Linked DNA regions of Ovis aries. The protein of the gene in region 5 purifies or fractionates together with the protein of the main gene of each other region. This does not show direct contact. Links are inferred from orthologs where the notes say so. Each region holds a gene or a part of one and is shown on either strand. Other genes may lie near its edges.

Region 1 (4,053 bases), on a different chromosome or scaffold from region 5:
TCAGGGAGACACTGGGCTGAACCGTGGGGTACAGACAGGAACCAAGGGCTGTCACCACGTCAAACCACGTGGGAGATGCTAGCAACACAGATGCTGACAACTGGGTGGCAGGTGTGACAACCTGGCACCATGAGAGGAGGAGCCAAGCCCTCCCTGGGCTTGAGGCCTGCTCCCCCAGGCAGGACACCCACCTTTTCCACATGCAGGGCCAGTTTTACACCGTTGTGCAGCCAGGACAAGGCCACGATGGGGTCCCCTTCCACCACGCTGCCCACGGGGCTCTCCCAGCTGTTGGCCAGGTGGTCAGCCATGCTCCAGCACTTGATCTGCCCATCAGCATCAGCTGACAGCAGACGAGAGCCTGAGGGGAAGGTGGGAGATTGGGCAAATCTGCATCACAAGCCCCATCCCCGCCGTCCATCAGGGTGGGGGGGCCGGAATGTAGAAGTCGTAGAGCAAGGGACCAGCACAGGTGAGTTCAGAAACAGGGGCGAGAAGAGCAGAAGCCTCAAAGGCACAGGTCAGGGTTTCAAGTCCCAGCTCTGAGCCTAGGGCTAAGGCCAGGAAGACAGAGCAGGCAGCCCTGGCATTCAGGGTGGAAGGCTGCCCTCACCAGACTGGTCCCACTCCAGGCAGGTGATGGCCTCGCTGTGCTCTGAGCGGATGGAGTGCACGTCCCAGGGATGCTCAGTGTCCAGGATGTGGATCATGCGGGTCAGGTCTGCGAGGGACAGTGAGGTCAGTGTGGCAACCACGGCCTGGTGCCCGACCACCCCAGGGGATTGGGCTGTCAAAGCCTATCAGGAAGCGTTAAAGCCAGGCTGCAGGGACTCCAGAAACATGATTTATACACAGGCAGCCCAAGGGGAGACCCATGGCCTTCTGTGAGGTTACAACTGTGCTTTCAAAAATGGACCCAAAACACTAACAGCGGGTGTCTCTCCATGAAAGGTTAGGGTTCTCCTCATCCTAAAGTTTCACGTTTTCCTAATTTCCTCTAAGAAGTGCATATTGCTCTGTGGTGGGAAGAATATCTGCCCTGCGGCAGAGTGCACCGCAAAGCTGGTGGCAACACGTGCAGCTGGAAAACTCCTGCAGGAGCTTCAGCAAGCCATAAGTGGCCACCACCCCCTCTCCCCCAGCCCTGCAGACACGGCCATTCCTCAAGGTTATCTCTGTGCCCCTCAGCACCCCTGTCTCAGAGGAGGAAACCCCATGGGAGCTGGGGGGAGGGCCCTATGAGGGGGCCTGGGATGGGGGTGGCACACCCTGGTCATCGCTGCGCAGGTCCGTGGTGAAGGCGATGAGGTTGCGGCAGGACCAGGTGCAGGCAAGGGGACCGGATGGGCAGTGGGTGCTCTTGGGCCATTTCTCCCACTCACAGATGTAAGCCAGGTCCATGGTGCCCAATTGCCAAGGTCACACAGGGAGGACGGTCACCAGCTCCTACAGGAGGGAAGACAGGCTTGTCATCCATCTTCACAGGGTGCCTGCAGGGCCCCGAGTGCGGTGGTGGATGCTGGTTACCACGGGGGACAAAGTGGACTCAACCCCTGCCCTGTGTGTGGCCAGGGAACTGCGTTTTACACAAGCATGGCCAGGGATCAATCCATGCAGCTGGGAGGAAGAGCATGCCAAGAGGAGAGAACAGCCAGTGCAAAGGCCCAGAGGCTTGACTGAGCCTGGGATGCTCAAGCAGTATCCAGGCCTGCAGAGCAGGAACAGAGTGAGTGGGGGCGAGAAGCAAGGTAAGGTTGGGGAGGGGATGAGGCAGGTCTTGCAGGGCCTGGGGGTTTTACCAGGAGGAAGATGGGAGCCCCAAGAAGCCTGTTTCTGTTTCACAGGCCCCTCTGGCTGTCTGAAGGGCACGGCTGGGGAATGGATGGTGGCGCTGGTCCAGGTGTACAGTGACGGGGACAGTGAAAGCTGCGACAAGAGGTAGCACCCAGGTCTATTCTTAAGGAGGACACAGGAGAACCAGTGAGGCTGCCTTAGACAGAGGTAGGGAGGCAGGGTGGGGGTTAGGCAGCAACTTGGGGCCTGGCTTCCAGGGGTACAGAAAGGGTCAGTGAAAGCTTGCTCAGCAGGCTCTTTGCACCCAGCCGCGACTAAGGTTATTTCCTTTCACCTTCCCAATCACATTACCCGCTGCTTCTTAAAGCCCCGCCCCAGAACACTGACACCCCGCCCACAAGCCCAACCAACAGTCATTTTAAGCTCTGCCCCCAAAGCCCTCCGGCCCCGCCCCTACAAAATGTGCCTTCCAGACCTCACTCTCAATTTGTCCCTGGCGTCCCCAGGCCCGGCCTAAACTTCTGTTTTTATTCCAAAGTCGCCAAAACAATCCCAAAGCCCCTCCTCCACACACCTGGCCACCTGGCCACCCAGGACCCGCCCCAACCCACCCGACAGTCCCTAAGCCCCGCCTCAAATGCATCCCAGGCCCTCCCCGGGGAGGTACAACCTTAGGCCCTCCCCGGTTTTACACCGCCCAACGCAGGGAGCCTCAGGTCACCCCAAATTTCCGCCACGACCCCCCAGACCACGCCCAGAGCCCTCAGGGAGCGTACCCAGCACCCTCTGCTCTCCAGGACCGCCCTCTGACTCCACAGGCCCTGCTCCGACCCATAATCCCAGCAGCGTCGGCGCCATCCGGAGGCTGGCCGACTGCCCAAGCCCCCAGCCCCACACTCACTGGACCAGCCTGTACGCCCACCGAGAAGGAGGCTGCCGTCTGCATTCGCTCTAACGCCCCGGCTCCGGCGCCGCCATCTTCCCAGGACCAACGAGTCTCCCGCGCAGCCCGGCTGCTTCCCGGAGACTTCTGGGACCTCAGTGGCTCCGCCCCGCTTCCGGGGTAATTTGCATACAATCGTGCCTTTCCAACAGCCATCTGCGTTATATTTGATGGAAAAAACAAACTTTCTCAATTTAAGTGAATAATCCCCTTAGATTAGGCCATTATTGCACTAAGTTAGTAAAAAAAAAGGAAAATTGCTGTATTGGTTTTTGATAGAATTCGCCCTCAGCGTAAAGTATTTGGTTCTGTCTACTATAAATAGTTCTGGCGTCTGTTCGTGGTTTGTGCTCGCTTCGGCGGCACATATACTAAAATTGGAACGATACAGAGAAGATTAGCATGGCCCCTGCGCAAGGATGACACGCAAATTCGTGAAGCGTTCCATATTTTCGCTTTTTATCACGATGTCTAGCCAACGTGTAACTCGCTTATAAGCCAGGTAACTCAACCCATCAAGGGCCGGTAGAATCAGTCTCCATCCTCAATTCCTCCTCCAAAAGCTGTCGGACTCTCCCCAGTCTGGAAGGTCTTTTCCAGAAAGACATAGGATTGATTGCAGGGAAGGGTATGACAGAGAGCAGGCAACATCTGGGCAAAGGTCTGGGGGCCGGGCTGTCTAGGGACGCGGTGTGTGGAGAATCTACACAGCCAACCAGGAAGCTGGACAGGACGGAGTCCGCGTGGGTCTGGAGGCAGCCTGTGGGCTTGCCCTGGGCCCCCCACCCGTGCCCTGAGCCCCAGCCGGTCCTCTCAGTTCAGTTCAGTCGCTCAGTTGTGTCCGACTCTCTGCGACCCCATGGACTGCAACATGCCACGCTTCCCTGTCCATCACCAACTCCCTGAGCTTACTCAAACTCATGTTCATCGACTCGATGATACTATCCAACCATCTCATCTTCTGTTGTCCACTTCTCCTGCCTTCAATCTTTCCGAGAATCAGGGTCCTTTCCAATGAGTCAGTTCTTCACATCAGGTGGCCAAAGCATTGGAGTTTCAGCTTCAGCATCAGTCCTTCCAATGAATATTCAGGACTGATTTCCTTTAGGATTGACTGGTTTGATCTCCATGCAGTCCAAGGGACTCTCAAGGGTCTTCTTCAACACCACAGTTCAAAAGCATCAATTCTTCGGGGCACAGCTTTCTTTATGGTCCAACTCTCACATCTATACTGGAAAAACCCTAGCTTTGACTAGACTGACTTTTGTAGGCAAAATAATGTCTCTGCTTTTTAATACACTGTCTAGGTTGGTCAT
Region 2 (4,042 bases), on a different chromosome or scaffold from region 5:
AATCATTCCATTTGGATGGCATATGTGCTAACACATTGTTATGAATTTAAGTCCCAAGGCAATTTTGAAATTAAATTATAGTTTTAAGAAAACTGATTCACAACACATAAGTCTGAAAGGACAAGGTACAAACAAACAAAAAAAAAAATTTTTTTTAAACAATAAGGTTCTACCATATAGCACAGAGAACTATACTTAATAGCTATGATAAACCATAATGGAAGAGAATATTTTTTTTAAAAGAATGTCCATATATGTGTAACTGAATCACTTTTCAATTTGTTTTGACAAAAATGTAACCACACTACACACATGGTTCTGATTCTTGGTTCTTTTTTCACCTGAAATGCACCTCGGACAGCTAGATGACATGGCTGTTACGAGTATGTGGATGTTTGTAACTGATCACCTGCGGTCTGAATGGGGATGACCATCCCACACCTGCACCTGTGTGTGCTGGGCACCCACAGTCCCCTCAGTCAGTGCTGCAGCTCTGCCTGCCACCACCTGCAGTTCATCCCTGTTCCTCCTCCTACTCCCCAGCTTCCTGTGGACCCCAGTCCTCTCCTCCTCCTAAAGCCCTCTGTCCCATCTACCTTCACAAAACCCAAGCACTAGCTCAAAAACTTCGGATGACTCCTCGACTCCCTGGTTCAGTGTCTCTGGGGTCAGACACCCAAGAGAGTCTATTTTCTTTGGCTGTCAGTTGAGAAGCTGGGGACAGGAAAGGGGAGGTATGGGTGAAGGGTGGGGCTGGGTCTCAATGTCCAGTCTGTGGACTTGCTCTCAAGCTCCTATTCTCAGTATGGCTCCCCTCCCCCAGCTCCCACAATGTGCCTAGTGTTCCCCAGTCCAGACACTCTGGCTGACTCTCTCCTAAAACAAATCTTGGGAAAGTACAAGCCTTTAAGCTGTCTGACCAAGGTCATTCAGCTGGTACCTTATAGAGCTATCATCTGTGGTTCATTTTTGGATGGCAACACCTATTCAATGGACATGAGATTGAGTAGACTCTGGGAGATAGTGAAGGATGGGGAAATCTGGTGTGCTGCAGTCCATGGGATTCCAAAGAGTCAGATACAACTGAGCGACTGAACAAAGAACAATTATTACTCATATATTAGAGATAAGAAAATCAAGGTCTAGAAAGGCTATGCACTTAACTAAAATTCCAACACAAGCAAGCATCAACATGCAGATCTGAACTCAAGAAGATCTGACTTCAAAGCCCATGTTCTTTCTCACAGACAATACAGTTCCATCTTTAAGGCCAGCCCAACCCAACTGCTCTATCAGGGTCAAAAATAGACTCGGAGAACACTGTGTGTTTTCATTTTTCCGTATTTTTTTCTAAAACCCGAATAAGCATATTTGGCTTGATCCTGGATAATGCCTGGGACTCCAGGGCTGCTTCTGTGTGTGTTTGCTTGGTCACTCTGCCTAGAAGTGCTACCTGATCACAGGCTCCTGGGAATAGAACAGTTTGCCTTGCCCGATAAACACTATGTTCACACCAAGTGAAGCCAGATGAAGTCAAGGTCTACTGTGACTACTGTGAGAACAAAGTCTTCACAGTCGTCTGAAAAGCAGTGGAAGTGTCAGGTCATCCCAGGGCAAGTGAATCTAATCCGCCTCAACTCTAAACCGGCTAGGCCATCACCAATACTTTTGTATTGTGAGTATCAATTCCATTTCAGCAAAACATCCAAGAGCATGTTGATGTTCACTTGAATGTTACTGTAAAAATAACAACTTTGTTACTGTAAAAGATTACAACTTTGTTGTAATCCACTTTGCTTTTATTTTTTAATGGCTGAATAAAAAGTTCAAGCCCAGGGGTTTAAACTTTGCTATCATGTAGACATAAATAACAGTTAACAATAATTTGGGCAAATGTGGGGATTGGGGAGATTTTGGCTGTGTGTGTGTGTGTGTTTTCCTTCTAAGGATAAGTTTGAAAACTCAGGTGATCTGAAGACTGGCCAAAAGCAGACAATCACCCCGTGTCGCCGGGACAGGGCACCCCAGTGCTGTCCGGAGGGCAGCGTCCTACTCCTGTAAAATTCCCAACATCACCCCTATAATCTCTTTGCATTATGGGTTATTCCGCTCATTAGTTTCCCCTTCTAACTGGTGAGCAAGGTGGGGATGAAAAGTCGGCCCCTCCACGTGTACACGCCACAGCACTTAGCAGTGTGCCACACATGGAAGATGACCCGTATCTGTCGGATCTGTGGGAAAACAGGCTCACCAGGCTGCACCCCAATGGTCTGCCCGCAGCGTCTGTGCACTTGCTGTCTACATCGGCTTCGTTTTAAGAACGCTGCTTGCCAGCACGGGGCCTGGTAACTCCCAGGAGGGAATGCTGAACTCTTGGGACTGCTCGCGGTGGCCTCGGCGTGGCCGCTCCCCTCCGGGTGTGTCTCCCCCTTGGTACCGCGGGGCGCCCCTGGATTTTGGACATGTGATGGGCAGCGGGGGCGTGCGGGCTGATTCCCCCGGGCCCTTACCATTTGATGATGCTGTGAACCAAGGGAAGGAAGGAGCAGTTCTCCTCCGCCTTCACGCCGGCAGGGGATGGAGGCTTCGGCGCGGGCTGCGGCTGCTGCGCAGAGACAGACGGCGGCGGCTGCGGCTGCGGCAGCGGCTTCATCTCCGGCAGCGGAGGCTCTGCGGGCGGCGGCAGCGTGTCCTCACCCTGCCGGCCGGCAGCAACCCCCACAGAAGCCATCGTGTCCCGGACCCCAGCAGCCGATCAGGGGGACAGTCGGCTTCGCGCGCCGGAAGTGTTGCTGATTATGACGTCACCATCGTGCGCCGCGGAGGCGGGGCCGGGCCTGGCGGTCGTTACTAGGCAACAGGCGGCTGGTCCTTGGTAGCCTGGATTTGGTGGTGCGCAGAGACAGCTAAATTTTTCAAAAGTCAGAAATAGAAGGTATACTTCAGGAATAACATCTCATTCCTATTCACGTTACAAAGAGAATCCAAAAGCAACCTGTAGAGGAAGATAAATGGGGCCTCAGGAAGAGTGGACAGCACCTCCGCACCTGCGGGTGTCAGGCCCTGGGCCCGTGGAGGATCCGAGGGGAAGGACCCACGGCTCCCACCCGCGCAGAAGCCTCCAGGGACGAGGTCTTGCGCCTACCCTATGGACCCTGAAATAAACCGAACAGTTAATATGCATCTTCTGGGTGACACACGCTGTGCTAACTGTGGGGGAAGGGTGAGGTCTGTCTCAACTTACTCCGAGCAGAGATGGCCGAAGGGGATTAGTACCAGGAATAAATACTGTATCCGAGGGAGAAGTCAGTGTCAGCTACTCTCCGTACCTGTGGGCCAGCTCCTGAAGCCCCCGGTCTCAGTGTGCTCACCTCTAAAATCTTTAGTTCAGGGTCATGGCAGAGCCCAAACCACTTTCCAACTTCAGACACATGGCTGACCTTTGAAGGTGTCCTTTGCATGAGCCCTGGGCTCTTAGGCGGAGAAGGCAATGGCACCCCACTCCAGTACTCTTGCCTAGAAAATCCCATGGATGGAGGAGCCTGGTAGGCTGCAGTCCATGGGATTGCTAAGAGTCGGACACGACGGAGCGACTTCAGTTTCACTTTCATGCATTGGAGAAGGAAATGGCAACCCACTCCTGTGTTCTTGCCTGGAGAATCCCACGGGCGGCGGAGCTTGGTGGGTGGCTGTCTATGGGGCTGCACAGAGTCAGACACGACTGAAGCGACTTAGCAGCAGTGGGCTCTTAGGTCAAAGTAGGGGACTCCTGGTGGGTTTGTGGGTATGTTCCTCAAAACAAGCCCTCCCAAGCCACAATGAGGGGGCTGTGTGATGGGGAGTGGCATCCTAGTTGGGAAGTACCCCTCTACTGAAGAGCAAGGTGGCCGGTGCCAAGGAAGCATCAGTGCTGGTATTTCAGAGGCATCTAGGAGGAGTCTGTAGAGGCAAGTCCCAGGGGAGGAGACTGTGGAAGGAAGTGGGGAGGGTGGACGGTGTGTCAGAGGGCACTTTGGTAACAGCCTTAGCACAGCTTTCTTAT
Region 3 (4,236 bases), on a different chromosome or scaffold from region 5:
ATTGAAATAGGACAGAAGGACAAAAAGCAAGGCCTCCAAAATGTAGCCCCCACTTATTGCCACACACTACTGCATATTCAAAATTTCTAGATAGAAACCAACCACTGTGCTGTCAGTCCTCATTTAAGGGCTTTGTTTCCTAAGCTGCATCCCTCTCCTCCTCTTACCATGAGATCTTCATCTCGGTCTGGGGACAACACCAGAGGGATGATGACCTGGTTGCGGAACAGTGGTGTCTTTTCATGCTTCAAGACCTTGTTCAGAGTGTTCAGCTGTCCAGAAAGCAAGGCAAAGCTGTCCAGGACAGATGGCCTGGTGGTGGTAAGAAGATGTCAGCATGTTCCTGGTAAAGGAGCCTCAAAGGGGTCCCTCGGACTAGGAATAACCAGACTCACCCCCAAAACACTCATAGCCCTATGCTGGCCTGGGCAGGAACTAGACTGGCTCGCAGGGATTATGGGGTTAAGAAAGAGGGATACACTTTGAGTTTCTGACACAGATGGAGAAAAAAAACAGGTCATTATAGCAATCCCCACTTATCCTAAGTTTCACTTTCTGAGGTTTCGTCTACCCGTGTCAACCACAGTCCAAAAATATTAAATGATAAATCCAGGAAATAAACAATCCATGTTTTTAAATTGGGAGGTGTTCTGAGGAGTGTGATGAAATCTTGCTTCATCCCACTCTGTCCTACCCAGGATGTTGATCACCCCTTTGTCCAGCATATCCATACCGTATACGGTACCCACACAAGTAGTATAGAAAAAAAAAAACAACAACCCACAGTATATACAGAATAGGATTCAGTACTATCATAGTTTCGGGAATCCACAGTGGGTCTTAGAACTTACCCCTGATAGATCACGAGGAGCTACTACATTTGAATGGGGTGAGGACAATGGCAAAATAGGAACGATGGCTACACTATTATCACTAGAACTTCAGAAACCGGGTGAAAGATCCCTTTCCAGATCCAAACTTTCCTAGATTGGACCTAAAAGACTTGGCAAAACCCGTGCAAGAAATCCAGTATGAATACTGTGGTGGGAGGACCCACTGCAGGAGGACCTCATCCTGGAGAAGTCAAACAGGGAGAATCAAAAGCTAGAAAGAACCTGGGTTGAGAAATTGGGCATTTCTCTACTACCCTTAAAGTTGAGGTCCAAGGCCAACTTCAGTGTTAAATGTTGGGAAAGCCAGCTCTTTCTAAATCAAAAGATGTTCACAAAGTGATAAATGCTGGAGGAGGTACCCTGTGCAGCAGGTGGCCTAGCCCCCACCCATAGAGCCCTCCCCAGCTTGCCCTGGCAACTCTTACCAGGTCAGCCGGTCATACTCGTTCTCCAGCTTGTAAATGAAACTCCCCAGTGAGTTCTTCAGATCAGCCACTTGACTCAGCAGTGCATCTAATGATGCCTCAAGCTGTTTTTCCTCCCTCTGAGCCAATAGGAATAGGTTGGTTACTCAGCTGAGTGTAAGGATGACACATATAGAGGAAGGCTGAAAAGCCAGGGTGACAGTGTGCAACACCAGGACAGTGACACAGAATCTCATTGGCACAGGGACAGTCAGGCTGTTTCTGTCTCCTGTCAGCCGGGCTCCACCCCTATTTGGAGTTAGGATCACAGACAGCATCAACCCTTAGACCTTAAAACCCATTCATCTGACCTCAATTCCTCTTACCTACTGATTCCTTCCTCTCATCGCTTTTAATCCGGGCGTGACTGTTTCTCTATATTAGGCTTGGTTTGTATCTGTTCTCCCTCACTGGACAATTTTCACCAGACGTAATGCCTGGGATTTATTCTGTTCGGCACACCTCAGCAGCAGACGTACTCTGACGTCCTATGTTCTAGAACCTGCCTTGTGAACCTGGCTGTTCTTGGCAATGACATAATCTCTGAAAACCTACCTATACAGGAAGGCTCCTCTGAATACTGCCACCGTCACCTTCCTCTTCCCTCAGCATTTGCTGTTTCAACCTCCTCCTTGCTAAATCAATCTGCACTCACTTTATTGCTGTGCCAATATTCCTGTGCCCCTTTCGCAAGCTTAGTCAACCTATAAAAATGTACTGACAACTACCCTTCTGCAACAAACAGTGACAAATGAAAAACAAAACAAAACAGCAACCAAACCGCACATGCCCCTAAGCACTAGGCAAACTATATTAAAAGCTGAGGGGTCTCCAGTTTTATCTCATTTCACCCTTTAACTACTAGGGGTACACACTAGGAAGAATGAAACAGAACTGCAAAACCCCGAATGTGGAGGACACGAGCCGGGTTCCACCCACGGCCTCAGATTATTTAGTCTGGCTTCTGGCCACCACGGTCCCACAATTCCTTCCACCCTCGGGCTTCTCTCCAGTTAGATCCTCTGTTCTGTCAACATCCAACGTCTAGGCCGGGGCCTGAGCCCGAGCCCAATCCACCTCTTTCTTCAGCCGTCTTCCTTGGACTGCACCTTCCCAAATTTCAACTTGATCCTTTTCCACACCCTATCAACAACTTGATCCTTTTTCCACACCCTAGCAAGACAGTGCTGCCTTCTCCGTCCCAACCTAACCGCAGTTTCTGTCTCCTGTCAGCCGGGCTCCACCCCTATCCCTCTCCAGAGGTCCTCGTCCCCATCGCGCGTCCCTTTATCTCACAGTCGCGGTCTCGACCAAGTCCTCTCATCCCTAACTCCTCACTCTCTCCTCGGCCAGCCCACTTTCTGTCTCGTTACCCCAAGCTAGCTACCCGTCGCTAGCGCCAAACCGGTCCTCACCTGCATTGCTGCGGCGGGGGGCGGTGTCAATCACTTCCTCTTCCGGTTCCCAAGTAGGCCAATTAGAAAGCTCAGAACTCGACCCTCCCACTCACTTCCGGCCCCGCCAGTCGCGAGACCTCCGGGTCAGGGGTCAGGAGCGGAGCATCTTCTCTGGCCCGGGCCGGCGCGGGAGGGCTGTGTGATGGCCTCGGAGCGCCCGGAGCCGGAGGTGAGGGGCGGGCGGGCGCAGCGCTGGGCCTGTAGATCCGAGGGGGAGGGTCCGGCGGCCAGGCGCGGCCGTGGCCTCCTCCGGGTCTGGGGGCCGCCTGGCCCTCCTGAAGGCCCAATAGTAGCATCTCCTCACCCCTACTTTCCTCGGGGAGGCCTAGAGGAGGAATTCGTGGCTCAGTTTTGTTTGCCGAAATTTAATCCACGATTCTCTACTCTAGGGCTCTTGGGTTCTTTGACCTCGTAATGGCATTCAGAAAATCTGTATTTTGATCTTCTGTTGCAGTTTCAGTGGGCAGGTTTGCCGGTTGCTGCCTCATTCAAATATTATTGGAATGCCATAAACAGCATAAATTAATTAGGTTCTAGCGCTCATGCAATTGGAGAGCAGCTTAGATTTCATGAAAAAACGTTGGATTCAGAGTGAAACCTCGTTCTGGTATTGGCGCTGCCCTGTAGCTATCTGTGCAACTTTGGGCAAATCTTGACTTCCCGGATCCTGTTTCCTTCTTTGTAAAATATCTATCTTCAGGTCTATTGTGAGGATCACACGTTTTAAATGGGAAAATGCAAATGAAGCATCCATTAAGTACGAAGGACCATGCAAGGAACTTTTGTATACATTGTGTGGTTCAGACTTGTGCAAGGAAGGTGACAATACCCATTTCCATATACAGACAAACTAAAAATCGAGGGAAGTGAAGTACCTTACCCAAGTGCTACTCTCAGCTGGGGAGTGGCAGAGTTTTGTAATTAGAAGTCTAAAATGTCAGATTTGGAAAGAAAACATCACTAGGAGAGTTGCCCAATGTTACAGGAGAACATGTGAGTGGATGGGAAGGGTGAGAGGTGTATAATCATGTATTGAATCCTTACCTATCGAATGCTTACTGTGTCCCAGAGACCATCTTAGCGCTTTACCAATGTCAAAGATTACTCTCAACCCTACACAGTAGACACTTATCCCCATTTTTCAGTTGAGGAAACTGAGGCACAGAGGTTTTAAGAGTAACAAAGTTGCACAGCTAGTAAGTGGCAGAGCCAGGACTCCAAAACAGGTGGTCCCTTGTGATCTTGTGTTCTTAGCCATAATGTTTACAGTGCAAAGAGAAAGTAGCCACAGGATGGTAAATCTCCAGTGCTAGGATTTGATGTAATGAGATCCAAGATTAAATACAACTGTAGGAAACTACCCTATTAAAAAGGATCAAATGTGCTCACAGGGCTGGTGGAGTAGCCTAGGCATCAGAAATA
Region 4 (3,988 bases), on a different chromosome or scaffold from region 5:
GGCTACAATCTATGGGGTTGCAAAGAGTCGGACACAATAATACAAGGAGGAACTTTCTGGAATCTAGCTAACAACGGAATTGGCTGCCCCTGAATTAGTATGTGTTCACTAGAAACCTCCAGCCAGTATACAGATGACCATCTCAGCAATGTTGTGGGTAAAATTGAACCTGACGGTGTCCAGGGCTCAGTGTCCAACACTGAGTCTCTAAGTCTATAATACATACATATAACATGTTGCAATCTAGTAAAAAAATATATATATTTTCTCTGGATTATTAAATGAATAAGTGGTTCTTTTATAAAGGGCCAGTAAGGGTGGAAAGGGTCCCACAGGCAAAAGGAGGATGTGGACTTCATAAAGCAGCTGTTATTAGACAGAGAAAAGTGGCTTGGCCAAAGTACAAGTCTTAAACATTCTCCTCTCAAACTTGTGTCTGTTTAGGGGAAAAAAAAGGCTAGACATTTCACCACTGCTTTTTGACTACCTATTTAAGACAAAGCAGAGGTGGGTGTTCAAGGCTTATTTTTTATCATTAAAAAGAAATGTTTGTGATTACAATATGCTCCTTGCATTTCAGTAAGCCTTAAAACGAGAGTATCTATTGCACAACCTGAATGATAAATTCATGTATTTATTATGTAAGATATATAAAATAAGAAAGCAGCTATTAAGACTCGGGTACGGTTACCTTCTCCAGAAACCCTTGCTTACAAGTAAGTACCTCTTTCTATGTTTTTTCATTTTCAGGCTATGGCTGTCATTGCATATATGGACTGCGGGTTCCTTGAGGTCAGAAACTCAGTGAGATGCAGGGAGTGGTACAAGATAAGGTCAGAGAAGACAGGGACAGATCACACAGGGCTAAGAGACGAGATTTTCTTCTGCATGCAATGGGAAGCGACCAAAGGGTTCTAATGGAATGTAATTTCTATTTTTAAGAGACCAAGTTGGCTTCTGTGCAGAAAATGTTTCTTCTTTGTTTGGCAGGGCAGGGAGAAAGGAGGAATACCAATGAGTAGATACTGCAGTAATCCCAGTTAAGTTAGAGATGATGTGTCTCGTATTAAAATGGAGGCAACTGAAAGGAGAGCAGAGATTCAACAGGTATTTTTTCCAACGTGAAAGTAAGAAGTCTATTAAATATCAGTGCTTTGGAATATAATAAAAGTACACACATGTTTAGGACTATAAAAATTAAACTTACTTTAGATACTTGGCATATTCTGGTTCTTTCCAGTAAAGCAAGTACTTAAGATAATTAACAAAAGCTTTATCTTTGAAGTAACCTCTTTGGGCAAGAACTGAAAGGCATAAAAAAAAAAAAAAAAATACATCTGTAGAGCACACCAGTCCTTGGACTACTGATCTGTGACTAACATAATCGTAAAGAATTTACTTACATAACATTCCCACCACCAACACACACTGAATTCAAAACAGAAGTCCCAGTTTGCTCAATTATATATACCAGTATAAGTGCAACAGTCATTCCATTCAGTTAAGAATGTACAAAACTAGATACTAAAGTCATCTCTCAGAATCCACAGGGAGTTGGTTCTAAGAGGCCCCGCAGACACGAGAATCCACAGGTGCTCCAATCTCCTGTACAAAACAACATAGTGCCATGACAGTATTGTCACCCTCAGGATGGGCAGATTCCACCAACTGAGGTTGCCTCCAAGGATACAAAGGGCTGACAGTACTATGAATTTTGACTCTTCTATCAGAAATCGTAACTAGCTATTCACTTCAATGAGGTGCTCAACAACTTACAGTTAAGGTAATTTGGGTTGGCTAAACACTGTACAAATTCCAACTCCAACTGAAACCGCAGTCGATTTCCAGCATCATCTAGGAGAGAAGATAGCAAAATCATCCAAAATAAATGTCACTGTATATAATACTGATTTTTAGACAGAAAACAGCAGTACAGACATCTGACTAATGCTGAGTTACATAAAGAAGAGCATGCAAAGGTTTTCCTAAACTGGGTGTAGGAGGAGAAACACCTTCCTTATAAGTCTAAGGAAAGCAAAGCCCTGATTAAGAAAAAAAAAAAAAAAAAAAGGTTTATCTAAAGTTAAATTATCAAAGAAAACAAGATTATACATGGAGCAGAACATTAATCACTCGTGAGCCACCATGTTGGGACTTCACAGTGATCACTAGGATAAGCTGCAGCAATGTGCCTTGCCTTATTTTGATAGTGCGTTACAAGCTGTTAAGTGATCAAGCTTAGCAAAAACAAAATGCTAAATCCATCAAGAGACGTTCAGAATGCAAGATGAAAGAGACCCTGGTGAGTATCAAGAAACGCGTGCTTACGTGAGACCCGTTAGTGGCACAGTAATACAAGAGTTCGCTGACGATATTTTAAACTTAGGCAAGCTCATCTGAGATGCAAAAAAACAACTCGAGGAAGCGGTTTATGATCCAAAATCTCTCCTTTAGTCTTCTGGAAGCCGGTGGGGCCACTGTTTGAATAACTAACGGGGAGAAAGGATCGGCCAACAAAACAAACTCTGAAAAGGCCAAATTACCTTCGCCCTTCCAGTCGCTAAAAAAAAACCCTGGTGCCTCCCGCTCCGATCACTCACTCTGCCGGGAGTTGGGCCTGGATTCTCAAAAAATCCCGGGAAGCAGGTGTCTGGACCCGGGACAGTTTCTATTTGACAAAACGCGAGGCTCAGAGCGCTACTCACCTGTCTCCATAGCGACGGCCGCGGCCATCACCAGCAGACACTCTTAAGTCCCCAGCAACCCCACACAGCCAGGATCGGAGAAACAGGGAAGGTCCGGAAGTCGCAGCGTCCCCTTCCTGCCGCGGGGCAGTGTGGGATGCGGGGGTGGGCACAGCTTCGCAAGGGGGCGGGTGGCTCCGCCCATCCAGGGCCCGCCCCGCCCCAACCCCGCCTCCACCCGGACAGGTTCTTGACAGGCTAAGGGGCGATGCGGGGGCAGACGGCGCTCTCGAGGGGACGAACCCAGCGTTCCCAAGGAATCTTAGGCCTCCCCGCCCCAAGATCACGGTGCCTCCACGTGGTTCGCGGGACCCTCGACCACCGCTCTGCCTGCATCACAATGGCATGTGACGTCGCTCCTCACCGTATAAAATAATCCTTCGGGGATTGTGGGGCTGTGGGGCCTCCAAAGGTCAGCTTGGCCCTGTTACCCCCATAAGATGGCCTCACCCCTTCGGGGAAAGCCCTCTCCGGCCCGGGCGGAATCCATCCGCTCCGAGGAGACGGCGACGGTCAGCGTGGAGACCTCGTCCCACCGCGTGGAGACATCCTACCGTCACGTGAGGACATCTTCCCGGCAGGTGGAGACCACCCAGCGCAGCAGCGAGGGACCCTCCGTCTCCTCCTCTGGGAAGCGGCTCCCTCGAGTCCTCGAGGTGTCCTCCCAGCACGTGGAAACCGCCTCGCAGCTCACAGAGACGGCTTCCCGCCACGTCAGGGCCTCGTCCCTGCGGGTGGAGACGTCTGTGCACCGCGTGGAGAGCACGCCGCGGCGGGAGAAGCCAGCCGCCCGCCATAACATCCAAAAGGCCCGATGAAATGCTGCCTTCCTCGGGGCCACGAGGGGGCCATGGCCCTTGGCCAGGGCAGAATCGCCTCCAGTTCGCAGCCTGCCTGCTGCCAGGTGGACCGATCATCTTTGGTTTCCTGGAAACAGTCCACAGATCAATTTAAGAAAGAGCCAAGCTGCGGTTTCGGGATTTAGCCAACATTCATTGACCCTCCTGCACCTTGGACCAAAGGCAAGCCTTTGACCCAGTGAACTATTTTAATTTGAAGCCAGCATAAAAAGTTTTTAGGCTCTAGATACTGTATGTGTTAAGCTGATGGAAAAGAGACTGTTTGAGCCTCCAAGGCAGGTGAGTTTTGAATTGGGGGCCCTTTAAATAACCTTGGCTGCTTCAAACCTGGAGAAGGAAATGGCTACCCACTCCAGTATTCTTGCCTGGAGAATTCCATGGACA
Region 5 (3,500 bases):
TACCACACAATTGCACTCATCTCACATGCTAGTAAAGTAATGCTCAAAATTCTCCAAGCCAGGCTTCAGCAATACGTGAACCATGAACTTCCAGATGTTCAAGCTCGTTTTAGAAAAGGCAGAGGAACAAGAGATCAAATTGCCAACATCCACTGGATCATGGAAAAAGCAAGAGAGTTCCAGAAAAACATTTATTTCTGCTTTATTGACTATGCCAAAGCCTTTGACTGTGTGGATCACAATAAACTGTGGAAAATTCTGAAAGAGATGGGAATACCAGACCACCTGCCCTGCCTCTTGAGAAACCTATATGCAGGTCAGGAAGCAACAGTTAGAACTGGACATGGAACAACAGACTGGTTCCAAATAGGAAAAGGAGTATGTCAAGGCTGTATATTGTCACCCTGCTTATTTAACTTCTATGCAGAGTACATCATGAGAAACGCTGGACTGGAAGAAACACAAGCTGGAATCAAGATTGCCAGAAGAAATGTCAATAACCTCAGATATGCAGATGATACCACCTTTATGGCAGAAAGTGAAGAGGAACTAAAAAGCCTCTTGATGAAAGTGAAAGAGGAGAGTGAAAAAGTTGGCTTCAAGCTCAACATTCAGAAAACGAAGATCATGGCATCCGGTCCCATCACTTCATGGGAAATAGATGGGGAAACAGTGGAAACTGTGTCAGACTTTATCTTTTTTGGGCTCCAGAATCACTGCAGATTGTGACTGCAGCCATGAAGTTAAAAGACGCTTACTTACTCCTTGGAAGAAAAGTTATGACCAACCTAGATAGCATATTGAAAAGCAGAGACATTACTTTGCCAACAAAGGTCCATCTAGTCAAGGCTATGGTTTTTCCAGTGGTCATGTATGGATATGAGAGTTGGACTGTGAAGAAGGCTGAGCGCCAAAGAATTGATGCGTTTGAACTGTGGTGTTGGAGAAGACTCTTGAGAGTCCCTTGGACTGCAAGGAGATCCAACCAGTCCATTCTGAAGGAGATCAGCCCTGAGATTTCTTTGGAAGGAATGATGCTAAAGCTGAAACTCCAGTACTTTGGCCACCTGATGCGAAGAGTTGACTCATTGGAAAAGACTCTGATGCTGGGAGGGATTGGGGGCAGGAAGAGAAGGGGACAACAGAGGATGAGATGGCTGGATGGCATCACTGACTCAATGGACGTGAGTCTGAGTGAACTCCGGGAGTTGGTGATGAACAGGGAGGCCTGGCGTGCTGCGATTCATGGGGTCGCAAAGAGTCAGACACGACTGAGCGACTGAACTGAACTGAACTGAACTGAACCTGCATGCCTAGTGCAGGCTTTCCGGTGCCCATGCTACTGGTCTGAGGGCCAGGTTCATGTAGCAAGTTCTAGAGCACACACAAAAGGCTTTGGCATGTACTTACCCTTTGACTTAATAAATCTAAGACTTTATCCTGAAAAAGCATCAAAGCAGCCACACATAGCTAAGATGAGGCACCTAAAGGCTTTCATAGAAGTTAACTGCCCAAAATCGCACAACTGGTAAATGACTGAGTCAGGGTCTGGGAGGGGCCTCTGATTCTCACCTGCCATGCAGTCCTGTCCCCCTGAATGTGTACCAGATTTAGGATCTGTACTTTGTAAGTGCTGTGAAACAAGTATCATTAGTAACAGTAGAAAATGTTCAACCCGTACAAATAAAAAGCTTAAAGAGCGTTTGGCAAGAGAAAACATTTATAAAACAACATTAAGGACAACTTATATATACTATGATTCCAATTTTATTAAAACAAATACCTCTTTGTGTGTATATATATGTATGCACAGAAGAAATGCCAAAGGAAAAATATCAAATCTTGATAAGAGTTTTTTAAATTGCTTCCTAGCTTGATTATGAGTGTTTTCAAATTTTTCTTTATACTTTTTTATATTCTCTAAATTTTTTACCATAAACATGTATTACCTGTTTCTTGACCTTTTAAATTTGAAATATTTCATATGTAGGAAAGAATATACATAATGAAAATATGTAGTCTATTTAGAATAATAAAGTGAATACCCATTTACTCACCCCTCAGCCTGAGCAGTTGATATCCTGATATAGAATATGTACCTAGGAAGGAATTGCTGGATCATAGGATAGTCACATTTTCAGCTCTAATGGTTAATGCATTATTATTTTCCAAAGTAATTCTAACAGTATAAACTCTTACATGCGGTGTGTAACAATTCTTATTTATTTTTTACACATTTACCAACATTTGGTTTTGTATTCCTTTTTAATCAGAAAACAAAACAAAACAAAACAATGGCTTAAATGAATACATACCTCATAGGAAAACCAACCTTGGAACCTTCCATTAAAAGATGTCAATTGCGTGAATGTCCTCAATAGTGTGTGGATGTCATGTCTTTGCAGGTACGCCAACAGTAGCCTCATAAAGTACATGGAGAAACACAAGGTCAAGCCTGACAGCAAAGTATTCCTTTTGGTAGGTGCATCTCTCCAGAGTGGGAAGGTGATCCTTAGCACAGCTCTCACCCCACCCCACTTACTGTGAAATTGTCCCAGCTCTTCCTCCTCTTCAGGAAAAAAAGGAAACTGGTGGATGCTGGGGCAAAATTAAATCTTTTTCCTTTGAGATATCACCCTTGACTTTTAGCCTTGTTTCCAGTGGTTTACCAGTAGGAAAAAAAAAAAAATTCTAAAACGGCTTTACTGCTAATCATTTCTGTCAGTTTCACATAAATGTGTGTAGTGTATTAATAAACGGGCACCTGATGTTAATTCTGTTAGCCATTAACACAGTCCAAACATTCCCCTGGAAGCAGACTTTCCCGTGCTGTCAATTTCTTATGTGTTATTCTAGCTTCAAAAACTCCTTACGATGGATCCAACCAAGAGAATTACCTCCGAGCAGGCCCTGCAGGATCCCTATTTTCAGGAGGACCCCTTGCCGACATTAGAGTATGTATCCTTCCTTTTCTGTGCACTTTGCTCCAGGTTGAAGGTGTGCGGTGGTGGCTAAAGGCAAGGGAAGCACTTGTTACTCGAGTCTTTTATTTCCTTGGTTAATACCACCTCGGGAAACACTAGCCGAGAGGTCCTGTACTTTGAAACAGGCAAAGCTGTAAAGAGGTGTGAATGAAAACAAGTTTACGGAATGATCATTAGTCAGTTTTACAGACAAAAACTAAAGCTGAGAACAGATGGGACTTTTATTATAGATCGGTCAGCCAGAACAGTTTACACCAAACCAGTAGGGAACTGAGCTTTTAAAATTCTGTGTCTCTGCTGCGTTATTATACTTCTCCATTTCCCCATCCTTATTATACCCACAGATATAAATTGTGCTTGGACTTACTGATATTAGAGGTACAGCTTTTCTTGAGAAAAAAATTACTTTCATTGTTGAAGCAAATACACGGTCAGCTCTTTTTAGTGCTGATGAAGTTTGTGTGGAGAAATTTCTGTGTTACATATGTCAACTAGCTAAACGCAGTTTTAAGATGT
Region 6 (3,500 bases), about 11 Mb from region 5:
TGATTCCTTAAATACAATTTTAAAGTTTAACTTAAGGAGGGAAAAAAAAAAGACCCTCATTTATTTGACTTATTTCCTTTTTTCGGTCATTCAGTGACCAAAGAGAATTTTAAACAAATTATGTTTCATGTTTTCTGGCTTAATAAAGAGTTAAAATTTCTATTATCCAAATTAAGAAAAATTACACTAATCAGAAGCTATTAATTTTCAAAAGTCTATGTATGTCTGTCTGTAGGTCCTCTTAGAACCTTTGCAAACTTTCATAAACAATAGATTTTAATCAATTATGTATCAGAATCAAATTAGGTAAGGAAAACATTTTGCAAAAATAAAATCACTTCCCAATATGCTTGACAGAAACAAGCTATTCATTTTCATTTGTGTTCCATTGAAGACATTACTGAAATCTGTCCAATGGTTTATTTCCAACTGGTCCACTATGAAATTCTTCGGAATGTTTTAAGATTGGCTGTAGCTAGAGTTCTGACTTCCATTTGGACCCTGCTCTCCTTCACTGTTCAAGTGGGGAAGAAAGAGATTTTACACCAATTAAAACTCATTTTCAAAACCCTAGTAAGCTACTAATTTTTAAAGTTATTCTTTGCTATAGCTTTACAAAACAAAGACATTTCCAATCATAAGATACAGATGTGGAAAAATTAAAATCCAGAAGACTACATTTGGTTTTATGTTTTTATTCTTATGTAACTTGGTGCCCTCACACATATAGCAAGCATTCTGGAAGTTAGTGTCCATACACACTCAAAAATTTAAATTAGAGTATTTTGTTGTCATTACAGGTATCACTCAACATAGAGATTCTTCTAGACAAATTTCCTATGAAATTAAATTATACATGGAAAATCTTATTCCTACTAATAATGAAAATCAAGAAATGTTCTTCCAAAAAATCATTGTCCAAAGGCATAATAAAACCATACGTCAATACAGCAAACCTTTAAAAGTCAGAAAGAAATATGGTAATTTCCTGTAAAGCACTGAATATTTAAACACTGAAACTGAAAATACCAGTAATTGTGGCAATAGGATAATTGCCTTATCTTGTCCATCAGCATCTTGCAGCTTCAGGCCCTGCAACTAGTGAAGAATCACTCAGGGAATTTCTGCAAAAAATGCATCCAAAGGCAGCTGTTTGAATGACTGCTTTAAACAGCTCCTTGTAAAAGTATTAATTTTTCCAAATGGTAACCTTAACATACCAGATCTACAAATCAACCTTAATGTTATATAACTTATTTATTTTTCTTGATAAATGATTAAGATGGGTAGTTTCCCTTCTGACCTTTTTCCCCTAAACAAAATGATCTGATGTACACTGACATCTGAAAACCACTGAACTTAAATGAATTAAGTTAAAAACCAGTTAAAAAACAATATAACACATAAAAAACCCCACCACAACAAAAAAACCCTTTCAGCACAAGTAACTCATACTTAGCAAAATTATATTATGTGCAATGGATCTCTGAGTCACTCGAAAGTCAAAATTATTTATCTTTACAGTATCAGATCAATAATCTAAGTTTTTGAAAAATGATACTGAACTTTATCAACAGGGTTAACAGCCACTACTGGGGGAAAAAAGATGGCACAGAGTGAAACTGACATGGAACTACTCCAAAATTCTTTATCCCTGAATTTTAAATGGACTTGCCTATCTCTGTTCTGTTTAAATTTATTTAAGTATATAGCCATATGTTGAGGGATACCTGTAATAGACCTGCCGTTATATCAGGAAAAGTTACTTAACAGATGATCAGATTAATATATTTTTTTAAATGAGATGTTTTCAAAATATTAAGTCACAAAAAAACACGTATCATGAAGTTTTAGAAGACATTTTATAAAAACAAAATAGCATACTCTATTAAAAATATAATGCCTATGAAATATATAATTAAATAAAAGCAATAATTAAACTCTACAAAGTACCTGTTTGGAGGAGGTTTTGGTTTCGGCATCTTACTAAGAATAGTTGCCATCTCTTTTCTCTCATCAAAATTTTTCCACTGCTCATACAACTTTAAAATAACCCTGATTATTTCCAAAATCTAGAAGAAAATATTTGAAAAGTTCTCAGTGGCAATATCAAGCAACATTTGGTATATAAAGAACACACATCATATCCTAGACATCATTTAGGAAACAGTGAAAAGATAGTCTCTATCCTTCAGATTAGGTTAGTCAATCCCAGTAAATGTGAAAGCACATGTATGCTAGGTCTTATCCTTATCCATCTCTTCTGTTGGTTTCCTTCTATCTACTGATATCTGAAACCAAAACAAAACAGTGAGGTACTAGGAACAAAAGTCTAAATCATGAAAGAGAATACCACTATAGAGCACATGTATTCTCAAGTCATATCCAACTCTTTGCCACCCAATGGACTGTAACCTGCCAGGCTCCTCTGTCCATAGGATTCTCCAGGCAAGAATACTGGGGTGGGTTGCCATTTCCTCCTCCAGGGGATCTTCCTGACCCAGGGATCACACCAGTGTCTCCTGCATTGGCAGGCAGATTCCTTATTACCGAGCCACCTAGGAAGCCCTACTACAGAGTAAACTCCTCTAAAACCACTGTTTCAAAAAATTTAATGAGCGGTAGTGCACAAAAGACTTTGTTTTGATTCTCTACTAACTACTCTACAAATGAGTTAAGGTGCTCAAAAACCAGCAGCTACAAATCTATCAAGTCCAGTTTCCAAATTAGATCTTTATTTTCCCCCTGAGTAAATCTATCCTTGGACTGATTCTAGAACATTTCAGCAAAAAAGGTAGAAAAAAGGGCAACAATCCACTGTCAGGAGATAGGCTGTGTTACTGGAGTTTACAGTAGTATTACAGTAGTCACTAGGTAGCTTTTAAAATAATTTTGGCAATTAAGAGACTGCTTTGCAACCAGTCAAACACTAAGTTTACCATTCTATGTAATCCTAAACTGAAGAGAAATATAACCTAAATGGTCAAAATCAATTCTTCTTCCCAACATATTTCTTAACATTTTTTCTTTTAAAACCAAAAAGTACTCATTGCCTGGCTGACATCATGAAATTTTAGGCACATGGTAAATAAATACGACATTAACTTCAAAATGTTCAAGTTTATATTCAGTTACGGGAATTCTAAAGATTACCTTCTCCATATCCACAGAAAGCTCAGCAAACCACTGTCTGGCATCTTTCTGCTGTACAACACAGGCTACATGCAGGCAAGCTGGAGAGAAAATGAGACACAAATTCCATGTTTAACTGCACATGGAATGTATGGAGTCAGAAAGATTCATTCACTTATGTGTATTTTATTATATTCTTTTTAAAAATTATACAGATTCATATAATTTATTAATTATATAACCATCCCATCAATTTAATCTTACAGGGAGGAAAAATTACTGGGTGATATATAATTTTTGTTTTTAACGTTTTTGACACCTGCTCCTCATGGTGAGCATGAGGTGAGCTAGTCATGGTGCAGTTCCCT
Region 7 (3,500 bases), on a different chromosome or scaffold from region 5:
TACATATTATAATCTGGAGACTTTATCTAACAGAACTTGGCCGATCAGATTATTTTCAATTCCATACAAAGGCGAAATTTCAGTGGACTCTGAGTACAATGACTATAACAAACCTAGACAGCGTATTAAAAAGCAGACATCGCTTTGCAGACAAAGGTCCATCTAGTCAAAGATATGTTCTTTCCAGTAGTCATGTATGGATGTGAGAGTTGGACCATAAAGGCGGCTGAGGGCAGAAGAAGTGATGCCTTCAAATTGTGTTGCTGGAGAAGACTCCTGAGAGTCCCCTAGACTGCAAGGAAATCAAACCAGTCAATCCTAAAGGAAATCAACTCTGAACGTTCACTGGAAGGACTGATGCTGAAGCTCCAGTACTTCAGCCACCTGATGCAAAGAGTCAACTCATTGGAAAAGACCCTGATGCTGGGAAAGATCAAGGGCAAGACAAGTAGGGGGTGGCAGAGGATGAGATGGTTAGATAGCATCACAGACTCAATGGACATGAATTTGCGCAAACTCTAGGAGATAGTGGAGGACAGAGAAGCCTGGCATGCTGTAGTCCATGGGGTCACAAAGAGTCAGACATGACTTAGCAACTATTAATAACCATCAACAGCAGAGTATAATGAGCACGTACATCTGTAGGACACTGAATTTTCTCAACCATTCTATAACCGCTCACATAGGAACAAAACTTCCAGCCATACCTTTTCTGCTTTTGCCTGTCTCTTTCCTTTTTGGAAGAAGAACCCAAGTGCTGTCCTTTCTCCAGCTCCTCCCCAGCTGCTTTCAACACTCTTCCCTGCACAGAAGTCGGCAGCCTGGCAATTAGGGGGGCCACCAGCCACACACCCCTGCGTTCAGAGGAACTAAAAATGGAAACAGATGTTATACCCAAGGATATACCCAAGGCATCCTTTTACTTTGCTCCCACAGTTCTGATCGAAACTCCAAAGCAAAACTTACATTCACAGGACACATGGGTTATTCTAACATTTGCCTTTTACTTCTATCCTCTGTTTCGTCTCACCAAATACCAGACATTTGCACACACTCTTCGTGCTTATGGAAACACTAAAAGGTGGGATTCTGCAAGGATACTATAGCTCAACTTTTTTTTAAAGTCTGGAAAAGTGGTTTTCTATGATTCTGGCTTTCTGAACACTAACAAGCAATTTGTTTTTTTGTCTAACAAGCAATATACCTTTCTCTCATGGTTAAAATATGAAACGTTCTGATTACATTTAAGCATTTAAATAACCAATTTCTAAAGATTCAAAATTCACCAGTTATACTTGACACCAAAATGATGAAATACAAGTCTATCTGCCTTTTGTAATTATCATTTGAGCAAAACTGCCAACTAAAAAAGATGGCAGAAAGAGTGTTTCCTATATTAAGAATACCACAGAATAGGGCAGCCTCAGGGCACATGAAAGAAATTCACCCCTATGGAATGTAAACTGTGGTTCCAAGGAGTCTGGGCCTGCTCAACCGCATATGTGGAATGCTCAGCTACCGTGCAGCCCAGCAGCATGGCCCTTTAACATATTAAATAATGATAATGGACACTTACAAGCAATTATTTTCCTCACATTCCTGCAGCTTTATGAAAAAAAAAAGTCTGCATTATCCAAGTAAAATGTGCAGTTACATGTGAAAAATGAATGATAGTTTTGTAAAACCACAGGGAAAAAAAAATACCTGAGAAATGTCTTTATTCCATTCTGCCTTGTGCTACTTGTATCAGTATTGCCAATCCCGTTTGGGCTGAAGAGGCCCACGCCAGCGTTAGAAGAGTTATTGTTTAGGTCAGCTGACTGCTGGAACACCTCTATTGTTGCCTTGGCAATATTGTCCAGCAGGTTGTTCATTTCAGCCACCGAACCAGAGCCCTGGAGTCAGACATGAGAAAACAAGCACTCCTGTGTTTTACTTTATCCACAAGCATCAATGTTGTGTTGCTTTTCATAAAACGGCACACACGTTCATGCTTTCATGAATATACTCACAGGGTCCTTCAAGCACTGTTTGATCATTAACTGAAGCTCCAGCCAGGACTGCCTCAGCGTCCACTGCTCAAGATTCTGGGGAAAATGGAGTTAGCACGTTAAGAATACCAAACATGTCTTAAAGTATAAGAATCCCCTGCAGTATTCTCTTTCTCAAAAAAACAGATGAATGATCACACACAATAAAGGGATTCATATGACACAAAAGGCTTCCAAGTCTATTACATATGCTCATTATAGAGACAAAGGAAAAAACAGCAACATTAAAATAATGTGCCTTACTCAGCTAGGCGTTGGAAATGAATAAGACAATCATTTCTTCTCCCAAAGTCTATCCAAACAACTCCATTACAAAATGATTTTGATATTTTATGAATAACATAATGAAGACAGTCCTTCTACAAAGCTTATTTCTCATGTAAACACAATAAATACTGACATGAATTAACATATTTGCACTTATACATACATAATGGTTGTATATGGTTTGCAGCGTGCGTATTTGCCCAGCAATAAAGTGTGGCTGTTACACAAAATGTAAAATTGGGGGAATAAAAATCAGAATTAATTGAAGTTAAGAATTAGCTAGCAATGACAAGAGAGACGCAGTAACTCCTGTATAAACACAAAGAACATGTCAAAACGACAGAAACACAGTCTTTAGACTATTTTCACTCACCTGAAGAATGCGTTTAATGTGCTGTCTTTGGAGGTTGTCCCCCTCCGTACATTCCTTAATGCCATGAGGATAACAGATGAGCTGCAATAATTTCTGTGCTTGCATATTTGAGAGCACAGGGTCCAGAATAAGTTCTTTGTCTGTGCATAATCTCTCAGGTTCCTTTAAACAATGTTCTCCTACCCATTCCTAAAAATAAGATGGCAATTAGATTGTACTAAACTCATGGCTCACAACAGAAAGCGGACAGGAAATTTTCCATTTAAAAAATAATAGATGGAAAAAGTAGGAGGGAAAAGGCTTAGAAATTTTCCAGTATTTTGACTTCTTAAAAGTATAAAGTAGAATCTTGGTTTTAAAAATTTTTTTAAAAAGGAATGCATGAAAGAAATTAGCAAAAAGATAAAAAAGGAAGTGGGGGAGAAAGCTCAGTAAAGAAAACACTAGTATGTGTTTTCAGTTGGAGAATGAAACTTTGCTCTAAATACTGTTTTGTAATCATTTTTTTTAACTTGCTATGTAACAGTAGTGATTCTGTATTATAATATGTATTCCTCACTTTCATGGAACATACTGTAATATATCCCACTGAATAGATAGGATATAGTGTAACACTGAGAAAACTGTCTTCCTTTTTGGTGTCATTATGAATAATGTTACCTTTATAAATACTTGTGCACATCTGTTCTCTGTACAATTATGTTCTTAGGATAATTTCTTACAATTGCTGAGTCAAGGATGATCAGTCCCCATATCACAGCAGTTAATCAACCTCAGTAATGCTATCCAGACATCAGTAATTTCTTAAG

Evidence for each region.
Region 1: the proteins of CDK19 (region 5) and MED16 purify together in Homo sapiens (affinity purification with mass spectrometry; 6 studies listed by BioGRID and IntAct, counting the BioPlex papers as one, with this or other methods). This does not show direct contact. The link is inferred for Ovis aries from reciprocal best matches to the Homo sapiens genes CDK19 and MED16.
Region 2: the proteins of CDK19 (region 5) and MED9 purify together in Homo sapiens (affinity purification with mass spectrometry; 7 studies listed by BioGRID and IntAct, counting the BioPlex papers as one, with this or other methods). This does not show direct contact. The link is inferred for Ovis aries from reciprocal best matches to the Homo sapiens genes CDK19 and MED9.
Region 3: the proteins of CDK19 (region 5) and MED8 purify together in Homo sapiens (affinity purification with mass spectrometry; 6 studies listed by BioGRID and IntAct, counting the BioPlex papers as one, with this or other methods). This does not show direct contact. The link is inferred for Ovis aries from reciprocal best matches to the Homo sapiens genes CDK19 and MED8.
Region 4: the proteins of CDK19 (region 5) and MED31 purify together in Homo sapiens (affinity purification with mass spectrometry; 6 studies listed by BioGRID and IntAct, counting the BioPlex papers as one, with this or other methods). This does not show direct contact. The link is inferred for Ovis aries from reciprocal best matches to the Homo sapiens genes CDK19 and MED31.
Region 6: the proteins of CDK19 (region 5) and CCNC purify together in Homo sapiens (affinity purification with mass spectrometry; 8 studies listed by BioGRID and IntAct, counting the BioPlex papers as one, with this or other methods). This does not show direct contact. The link is inferred for Ovis aries from reciprocal best matches to the Homo sapiens genes CDK19 and CCNC.
Region 7: the proteins of CDK19 (region 5) and MED12L purify together in Homo sapiens (affinity purification with mass spectrometry; 3 studies listed by BioGRID and IntAct, counting the BioPlex papers as one, with this or other methods). This does not show direct contact. The link is inferred for Ovis aries from reciprocal best matches to the Homo sapiens genes CDK19 and MED12L.

What each region holds. Positions count from the first base shown.
Region 1 is NC_056058.1:41,109,603-41,113,655, forward strand, and holds the start of MED16 (mediator of RNA polymerase II transcription subunit 16), read right to left. Parts: upstream 2,801-4,053; 5' UTR 2,696-2,800; intron 1,927-2,695; 5' UTR 1,800-1,926; intron 1,447-1,799; 5' UTR 1,402-1,446; coding exon 1,269-1,401; intron 722-1,268; coding exon 614-721; intron 362-613; coding exon 192-361; intron 1-191. UniProt on the Homo sapiens protein: Component of the Mediator complex, a coactivator involved in the regulated transcription of nearly all RNA polymerase II-dependent genes.
Region 2 is NC_056064.1:34,574,073-34,578,114, forward strand, and holds the start of MED9 (mediator of RNA polymerase II transcription subunit 9), read right to left. Parts: upstream 2,801-4,042; 5' UTR 2,732-2,800; coding exon 2,511-2,731; intron 1-2,510.
Region 3 is NC_056054.1:18,067,155-18,071,390, forward strand, and holds the start of MED8 (mediator of RNA polymerase II transcription subunit 8), read right to left. Parts: upstream 2,801-4,236; 5' UTR 2,779-2,800; coding exon 2,773-2,778; exon of another isoform or gene 1,684-2,772; intron 1,438-1,683; coding exon 1,319-1,437; intron 313-1,318; coding exon 168-312; intron 1-167. Other genes in the region: KICSTOR complex protein SZT2, read left to right, coding at 2,957-2,983. UniProt on the Homo sapiens protein: Component of the Mediator complex, a coactivator involved in the regulated transcription of nearly all RNA polymerase II-dependent genes.
Region 4 is NC_056064.1:25,115,147-25,119,134, reverse strand, and holds the start of MED31 (mediator of RNA polymerase II transcription subunit 31), read right to left. Parts: upstream 2,801-3,988; 5' UTR 2,734-2,800; coding exon 2,706-2,733; intron 1,855-2,705; coding exon 1,777-1,854; intron 1,305-1,776; coding exon 1,208-1,304; intron 1-1,207. Other genes in the region: C11H17orf100 (uncharacterized protein C17orf100 homolog), read left to right, coding at 3,185-3,562. UniProt on the Homo sapiens protein: Component of the Mediator complex, a coactivator involved in the regulated transcription of nearly all RNA polymerase II-dependent genes.
Region 5 is NC_056061.1:26,950,835-26,954,334, forward strand, and holds part of CDK19 (cyclin-dependent kinase 19), read left to right. Parts: intron 1-2,405; coding exon 2,406-2,478; intron 2,479-2,856; coding exon 2,857-2,954; intron 2,955-3,500.
Region 6 is NC_056061.1:37,553,097-37,556,596, reverse strand, and holds part of CCNC (cyclin-C), read right to left. Parts: intron 3,234-3,500; coding exon 3,154-3,233; intron 2,073-3,153; coding exon 1,863-2,072; 3' UTR 1,125-1,862; coding exon of another isoform or gene 1,070-1,124; 3' UTR 515-1,069; coding exon of another isoform or gene 460-514; 3' UTR 1-459. UniProt on the Homo sapiens protein: Component of the Mediator complex, a coactivator involved in regulated gene transcription of nearly all RNA polymerase II-dependent genes.
Region 7 is NC_056054.1:237,456,019-237,459,518, forward strand, and holds part of MED12L (mediator of RNA polymerase II transcription subunit 12-like protein), read right to left. Parts: intron 2,881-3,500; coding exon 2,692-2,880; intron 2,088-2,691; coding exon 2,013-2,087; intron 1,896-2,012; coding exon 1,705-1,895; intron 870-1,704; coding exon 708-869; intron 1-707. UniProt on the Homo sapiens protein: May be a component of the Mediator complex, a coactivator involved in the regulated transcription of nearly all RNA polymerase II-dependent genes.